2 linked regions of the Oryctolagus cuniculus genome follow. The protein of the gene in region 2 purifies or fractionates together with the protein of the main gene of each other region. This does not show direct contact. Links are inferred from orthologs where the notes say so. Each region holds a gene or a part of one and is shown on either strand. Other genes may lie near its edges.

Region 1 (3,802 bases), on a different chromosome or scaffold from region 2:
CCAAAAGCAAAAGCGAAATTCTGGTTCTCAAAATGAGCCCATCAGGTTGTTTCATAATTAGCCAATCTGAGGGTGAAACACAGGAGCGGCCTTGGAGGGCTCAGCTGGAACACACGGCCACAGCATGCTAACCCGAGCCTGCAGCGCCCACCCGCTGCCCTGTGGTCAGCTAGCCCCGCCCACTTTGCAGAGCGCACATGACTCCAGAACCCGACACCCCACTGTTCCAGGCTCACGGCTCTGGACCACAGCTGAACTCGGCCCCACACCCGAGCCTGCTTCCCCCAGTGAGTCCCCCCCTCGGCTCCCACGCTCCCACCTCTGCCCGCCCTGGCCTCTGCTCTCAGGAACGCCTCTCACCTGCAGGACCCTCCCCACCCTGGCAATGCCCCCCAGGCCTCTGCCAGAGCTGTCGCCTCCATGAATGGTCTCCCACACCACGTGGCCAACCTGCAGCTGTGGGTGTGATCCGGGCATTTTAAACACCAACGCTTACCCCCATCCCTGCCCCCATGAGGCTGTCTCAGGGGCCCTGCTGCCCTCTCCATTCTTCCCGTCAGCCCCCAGGACACTGGCACTCACCCACGGCGCGTCTGCTTGCCCCACTAACCCACCCTCAGATGTGGAAACTCAGAGGAGTCAGGGACCCGCCCACAACCGCCCAGACAGCCGGTGCTGGGCCGGCTCCTGGTCTTGCCTGGCCAAGACCTCCACATGTGATGTGTGCACTCGGCTGGCCCCTTGGTGGGCCGGGCCTGATCCCTGTCACGCACCCACCCTGAGGAAGGCTTTTCCCGGACTCGCCCCTCCCTCCCGGCCTGACACTGGGGACCCTTGGGACCCCCCACAGTGCTCTCAGATTCCCGGGTCTGAAACCCTAATGGCAGAAACCACGAGGGAAATGTCCCCCTCAGGGGGTCTCACACTCAGCGAGACAGCGTGTCTGTCTCACCTTGCAGCCTGCCGCCAGCCCGGAGCGCACTTCCCACGCCGTCCACGTACACGGGGCCGCTGGCCGGGCCGCCCAGGGCGTTCATGTGGGTAGGGATGGGCTCGAAGGTGGGGTCCAGCTCCAGGATCAGCCTGTTGAGCTGCTCGATGGACTGGTCGATGTCCAGGGTCGGGGAGCCCGGGGAGGGGCCTGCACCCAGCTCCTGGCCAGCTCCATTCACGACCCTGTCCCCTGCACTCCTGGGTGTCGGCAGCTGGGAGTCGCGTGCACACAGTCCAGTGCCAGTGCCCCTCTGGGCGGTCACCCGGCTGCTGGCCGTGCGGCTGGGGGAGACCTGGACACTGGGCTGTGCCTGGATAAGGCTGGGGCTGTCTGCAGTGCCGCGGCCCACGAGCCTGGCCTCCCCGGCGGGCGCAAGGCCATAGTGATGGGCGGCCACCATCTGTTGCTGGCGCACCCAGGTCTGCGTGGAGTAGCCGTCAGGTCCGTAGGCCTGCGTCTGCGCCGACACCGAGGGCTTCCACAGAGGCGGCGGCGGCTGCCTGGGCTCCCGGCCCCCGAACGTCCGCTCCCGCTCGTAGAGGCCATCCACGCCGAGGCCCAGCTCCGGGGTCAGCGCACACAGCGGCTCCTCGCCCACGTGGCTGCCGAAGCCATCGGACAGGAGGGAGTTCTGGCTGCTTTTGTGGCAGGGGAAGGGGCCCAGGGGGGCCGGCGGCCCCTCCGAGGAGGACAGGGTGCCCAGGCTATCCACGCTGTGCAGGTCATGGTGTGGCATCTCGTCGTCCAGGATGTCGGTCTCCTTCAGCGCGGCGTCCCCGTTCACGTGGACCTGGGCCGGCACCACCAGCCGCGTCCCGCTGCCCTGGCTGTGCGCGTCGGCCATGTCTTTGAGGGCAGGCCCCGACTCCTGCAGGCCGAAGCCGCGGAGAAGCTGGTCCAACTCCGCCTTCTCCTGGGGGCTCAGGCCCCTCCTGCCGCCCGGGGCCGGCCGCTCCTCCGTCCTGTCGGTCCGGACCGAGGCGGTAGAATGGCCCGAGTCGCTGCTGACCGACAGTGTGTGCTCGCCGTGCTCCGGGCTGCCAGCGGCTGGTCCCGTCTGGGGGCCGCTGGGGATGCCGGGGTCGGAGGTGCTCTTCTTCCTCACCTTGGCATAGAGGCTGCCATCCACGGGGCCGTGCGTGTGCAACACTGTGGGGAGGGGAGAGGCGGTCAGCGTGGGGGCAGGGCACTCGAGGGGGAGGGGGAGGGGCGGTCAGCATGGGGCAGGGCACTCATGGGGGAGGGGGAGAGGGAGTCAGTGTGGGGACAGACAGGGCACTCGTGGGGGAGGGGAAGAGGTGGTCAGCATGGGGCAGGGCACTTGTGGGGGAGGGGGAGAGGGGGTCAGTGTGGGGACAGACAGGGCACTCGTCGGGGAGGGGAAGAGGTGGTCAGTGTGGGGACAGACAGGGCACTCATGGGGAGGGGAAGAGGTGGTCAGTGTGGGGACAGACAGGGCACTCGTGGGGGAGGGGGAGAGGGGGTCAGTGTGGGGACAGACAGGGCACTCATGGGGAGGGGAGAGGCGGTCAGCGTGGGGACAGGGCACTCGAGGGGGAGGGGGAGAGGTGGTCAGCATGGGGCAGGGCACTTGTGGGGGAGGGGGAGGGAGCGGTCAGCGTGGGGGCAGGGCACTCGAGGGGGAGGGGGAGGGGCGGTCAGCATGGGGCAGGGCACTTGAGGGGGAGGGGGAGGGGCGGTCAGTGTGGGGACAGACAGGGCACTCGTCGGGGAGGGGAAGAGGTGGTCAGCGTGGGGACAGGGCAGCTGCACGGGCCCTTGGGAGCAGCACACGGCAGTAGGATGGTAGCTCTGCTGGGTTCCCACGCCCTCCCTCCCTGTCTGTCCTATCCATTCATCAACCCTAGCTAATTCATCTGTAGGTATTAAGTATGTATACATTATCTACATGTACACATGTACCTATCTTGTCTCTTCTAAGTATGTGTGTACATAGTGTACATCTATGTATACGTATGTATCTAGCCTATCAGTTCTATGTTTGTATATAAGCACGTATCCATTTATTATCTACATGTACAGATGTATCTATCCTATGTATCCTGTCAATTCTATCTGTATGTATGCACGTGTATGCATCTACCCATGTATTCATGTATCTACATGTATGCATGCATCTATCTACACACGGCATGTGTGTACACATTCATCTGTCTACATGTGTGAACCTTCATGTTCATGCTCCATGTATTATCCATGTATCTACTTGCATGTGTATTTATGTGTGCATGCATGCATCTCTGTACACGTGCATGTGTGTAGTATGTGTATGCACACTCTACATGCGTGCATCTCTGTGCATGCACCTATGTATCTGTATCTGCACGCACACATCTGTCTATCTATCTATGTATATGTGCATCTGCCTACACGTGTGCATATGCATGCAGGTCTACATGCATGTATGGATGGACACGTGCATCTGTGTGCACCTACATGTATGTACTATCTGTGTGTACATAGATACATGCATCTATGCATGTATATGCATGCACCTACATGCATGTATGTGTTATCTGCATTCGGGCACTGTGTGTATCTATCTACATGCATGTATGTATCTATATGCATGTGTGTATCTGTGTGTGCACCTACACGTATCTGTGTGCACCTATGTACATGTAGTATGTGTCTGCATGCATGTGTACACACCTATCTATCTCTGTGTATCATCTACCTACCCACCCCCTGTGTTCATCGCAGCAGAGTGAACACCAGCAGAAAAAACGCAAACACCCATCGTCCTCAGGTGCGAATCGCACCCACCGTTCCTCGCCGACACTGCCC
Region 2 (4,472 bases):
CTGCCTGGGTTAGCTCCCGTGCGGCTATGGGGTCTTGGGCCCAGGGAAGGCCAGGCAGAGGCTGGCCGCCACCTCCCTCACCCGCACACTCAGGTGAGGCACACCTGTGGAGGAGGAGGAGGAGGAGGAGGCGGCCGCCCCCACAGTCGGCCCCTCGGCCTTGGGACAGGCTGGGAAGACCAGGCTGGCAGGGTGGGGCCGTGGAGGTGCCCGGATCCTTGTCTGAGCCTCAGGCTCAGGAGGCGTCTGTGTCCAAGGGAGGGCTGCGCTGGCCTCGCCCAAGCCAGGAGGCAGGAGGCCACTGGGCACTCAGCTCGGATGCTGCGAGGCCGGAAGGCTGATGGGTGGGGTCAGGCCGGACACCAACCAGCGGCCGTCTCCCCAGGGCCAGCCCCGGGCCTGGGCCAGCCAATCGCAGGGTGACGGGGAGGGGAAGGCAGGCGAGCTGGGCAGGGCACTGGCCAAAGTAGCCAAGACCCTCCGGCTGGAGGGGGCTCTCTGGGTAGGGACCCCCCCACCTCTGCCCATGACTGGGGCCCTCCCTGCACCCCCTCCCCGTGAGGGGTGAGGAGAGCAAACGGGCTGTGCCAGCATCCCCATTACATAAAGGACCCTGGCTCCGGGGGTCAGGGACCTGTCCATCGTCCATCCACTCTGGCCGACGTGGCGTGGCCGGGCCTGGCACCCGCGTCGGCCAGCTCCTCTCTTGGCTGCTCTTGGGACACACAGGGATGACCCCAGGGACAGAGGGGCGGCACCGCACAGGCCTGGCCCGAGGTGCCCGCGGCCCTCTGCAGCTTTCTGAGGCAAAGTCTCCCGGAGCGCGAGGCCCCCTGGGAAAACGCTCAAACGCAGCATCAGCAGTGGCCGGCGGACGAGGCCTGCGGCCCCCCAGGAAAGCTTGGGGGATTTCTGCTGTTTTCTAAGTTTTTCTGCTTGGCTTTGGTGCTGGTTGTTGCTTTCTAAGTTGGGAAAACTAGCACACCCGTAACTTTTGTACAGTGACCCCAGAACCGCCTCCGCGGACCCCATCTGACCCCCACTCGGGCCCAGGCGCCCGGGCCACTTCTGCCACGGCATAGACCCGTGGGGACACCGCTCTGTGGCCTCTTCCCCAGACTCAACGCCTCTGCCCTTTGGGGACACGTGTCAGGGTTCCGAAAGTCCTCAAGAGGCATGGCACAGAGCTGCACCCGCCACCCGCCCCAGGCTCTGCCGGCTCCACTCCGGGGCGGGGGCACTGAACCTGGCCCCTCTCCCTCTCGGGCTCGGGGCACCACGCGTGGCTCGGCCTCGGCGGAGGCAGGAGGCTCCTGGTGCAACGCAGAGGGAAGAGCGGCCACTTCTGAGAGCCAGGGCGGCCCCGAGGTCACCGAACAGAAACCACATCCCGAAGCCGTCCTCTCCACACAGGCGGGGGCCCTGGCCTGCCCCTCAAAACCCCCCAGGCCTCTCCGGGCAGGCTCTGGCTCCAGGACCTGGCCGGGTCTCCTCTGTGTGTGTCCCAGCAACTGGCAGAACCCTAAAGCAAGGGCGGCCCCCCACACCCTCCCTCCTCTGCCGGGTTTCTGCTGGGACCCCAGGGCCCGGGCCCCTCAGGTGTTCCCGCTCCCCCAGAGTTCCCATGCCAAGGCGCTGCCAACGGGGAGGGGGCTCCCAGGCTCCTGCACAGACAGAGCCGCTGGAGGCGTGGGGAGGCCCGGGTGGGGGCTGACCCCCCCACCCCTCAGAACTCATCCCCTGCAGGGGGCACCCAGCCCCAAGCACCAGGGGGAAATCTCAGGGCTGGGCCGGAAGCCCCCTCTCGCCCTCCTCAGGGGAGCACGTGCTCACCCCACAAGGCCCCCTGGGGCTGGGCCTGCGTCCTTAGTGGGCGAGGGTGCACCCAGGGCTTCCCCCCACCAGCAGCAGCCCCGGCCTCTGAGCTGGGGGCAAGCACTGCCCGCCTCATCGTTCCACCAGAGGCCAGGGGCAGCTGTCCCCCTCTCTGCCCTGCTGAGCCTCAGGTCCCCGCAGGCCGACAAGGGAGCCCCAGTTAAGCTCCCAGGCTCTGGTGGCTGGACACACCCCTTCCTGACACCTGGCCCCGGCCCTGAGGAACCTGGGAGAATGGGCCGAGCCAGGTGGCAGGAGGTGGAGGCACGGCTATGGCCTGGTGTCACCTCCACCCAAGACCCAAGCCCTGCCCATGTCCCCACCCAAGGGTCAGAGATCTCTGAGAGTGACAGGTTCAGGCCCTGGACCTGGGTCTCCGGCAGAACTCAGGGGTCCACTGGGGCTTCCGGCCCGGACCAAGGCAGGGGTCAGGAGCAAGCAGGCCAGGGCACCTGCAGAGGCTCCGGCCCACACCGATGCTCTTCCCCTCCCGGGGGGGGGGGGGCTCCGACCCCCTACCCACCCAGAGCTCCACCAACCGGAGCTGGGGGCCCGACAAGCCCTGTGGGGCTGCAGGCGGTCCCTCCCTCCCTCCCTCCCGGCCGGCTTCTGACAGTGGCTCCCGGGAGAATTCGAACCCGACAACGATGGGGCGCCCCAGGCGGTGGGGGGTGGGGAGTGGACGCGGCGGCGGCGGCGGCCACGGGAGCGGGACGGGCCACCCCCGCGCGCGCCCCCCGCCGCAGGCAGCCGGGCACTCACCTCTGGCGGGGCACTGCGGTCCGGGCGGCATCAGCGGCCTGCGGGACGCTCCGCGCGGCCGGCGGGCAGGGGCGGGGCGGGGGTCCCCGGGGGAGCGGCACAAAGAGCGGCGGCACGGCCCGGCGGAGGCAGGGGGCGGCCGCGCGGCCCGGGCCGGGCGCGAAGAAAGGCGGCGGCGGAAGGGGGCGCAAACAATGTGGCCCGCGCGGCCCGGCGGAGTTCCGCTTCCCCGCGCCGCCCCGAGGCTCGCCGGGCGGACGTCGCGCCGGCGGCCGGGGGGCCCGCCCCGCACGCTCGATCGGGGCCGGGGGCCGCGAGCTGCACGCCCCGCGGGCTCGGCGGCCGGGCGAGGGCTGGGCGGGCGGGACGGCGGCCGCGGACGCCCCGACGGCGGCGCGCGCGCGCGCGCGCTCGGACCCCGCCCGGCAGGACCCCGGGGCGGCGGCGCGCGCGCTGCGGCGGGCGGGCGGGGGGCGCGGGGGGCGCGGCGGCGGCGGCGGCCACCCTCGGCTCGCCCGTGCTCCGCGGGAGGAAGCTCGCAGGCCCCGGCGAGAGGAAGCGCGGCCCGGATCTCCGCCCGCCGCAGCGCGCCTGCGCGAGGGCCTGCCCGGCGCGGCGGGGCGCGGGCGGCGCCCCCTGTCGGGCGCCGGGGACACCGCGGGGGGTGTGTCCGCGCCGGGCCTCGCGGGGCTGGCCGTGCGAGGGTCCGTCCCAGCCGCACCCCCGGCCCGCGCGCCGGCCCCGGGTCCGTGTACGGAGAGCGCGCCCTCGCCTCGCGCAGGGGGCGCTCCTTGGTGCGCGCAGGCTCCTCGGGCCCTGCCAGGGGGGCTCCTAGGAGGACCGCTCGGTCGCCGTCCGGGGGTTCTCGGAGGGTGGGCGGCAGACTGGCGGGCCCAGAGGCGCTCGCCAAGCGGGAGGTGATGGAAGGGTGGAGGTGGTGCGCCAGGTGCAGCGGTGGGAGCTGGGCTCCTGCAGCCACAGGGCTGGGAGAGTCCGGACAGCCTCCCCGGGACCCTCTTGGACTTCACGCTCAGCCTGTAGGTGACAGTGAGGGAGTAAGTGGTCAGTAGCTGAGTGACCCTGGGCCGGTGTCTGAACCTGTCTGTCTCTGCATTTGATAAAACGAGGGAAATAACAGCTTGTGCGTCTCTGGGGTTTGTGGAGAGGAAATGAGTTAATATGTCTAAATTGTTTTGCGTGCAGCCGCCGGCGCACGTGGTGGGCCCTCGGTTAAGTACGGGCTGTTATCATTCACCGCCGTGGAGGAGGGGCGGGGAGGGGGCCAGCCCGGAGCTGCAGGAGCTGGCAGTGGGCTCAGTCGTGGGCAGGCGGACCTGGAGTTTACGGGCACCTTCTGGGAACTGGCCCTGGAGCCAGGGTCTGATGTAGGGAGACAGGAGGATGGGCGTTCTCCCTGGTGGACCAGACCCATTGGCAAAGTCCCGAGGGACCAAAGGCACGAGGGGGCCATGGAGACTTTGGGGGCCCAGAGGAGGGAGAGGGAGCACCTATGATGCTGGGAGTTGGAGACCACCGTGCCCCTGCTCCCCCCCCCCGAGGAGTGGCAGGTTGGCCCTCTGACCCCTGGGAGGAGGCACCCAGAGATGGGTGCGGGGTGATGTTGAAAGAGTGTGGATTTGGGTTCAGCTCTCAGAGTTCAGCCTCCTGGGGCTGTGCGACCTTGGGCTAGTTACTTAAGGTCTCTGGGCCCAGTTTCCTCTTTTGTAAGATGAGGTGTGCACCTCCCTCCCGAGAGTAGAGGTGGTGCAGATTCAGCAAGATAAGAGCGGGTGGAGGGGCTGGCGGGGGTGGAGGGGCTGGCGCTGGCTTAGCTG

Evidence for each region.
Region 1: the proteins of CSK (region 2) and TNS3 purify together in Homo sapiens (affinity purification with mass spectrometry; 4 studies listed by BioGRID and IntAct, with this or other methods). This does not show direct contact. The link is inferred for Oryctolagus cuniculus from reciprocal best matches to the Homo sapiens genes CSK and TNS3.

The regions. Positions count from the first base shown.
Region 1 is NC_091447.1:53,170,081-53,173,882, forward strand, and holds part of TNS3 (tensin-3), read right to left. Parts: intron 2,144-3,802; coding exon 953-2,143; intron 1-952. UniProt on the Homo sapiens protein: May act as a protein phosphatase and/or a lipid phosphatase. Involved in the dissociation of the integrin-tensin-actin complex. EGF activates TNS4 and down-regulates TNS3 which results in capping the tail of ITGB1.
Region 2 is NC_091443.1:108,911,303-108,915,774, forward strand, and holds the start of CSK (tyrosine-protein kinase CSK), read right to left. Parts: upstream 2,987-4,472; 5' UTR 2,638-2,986; intron 1-2,637. UniProt on the Homo sapiens protein: Non-receptor tyrosine-protein kinase that plays an important role in the regulation of cell growth, differentiation, migration and immune response.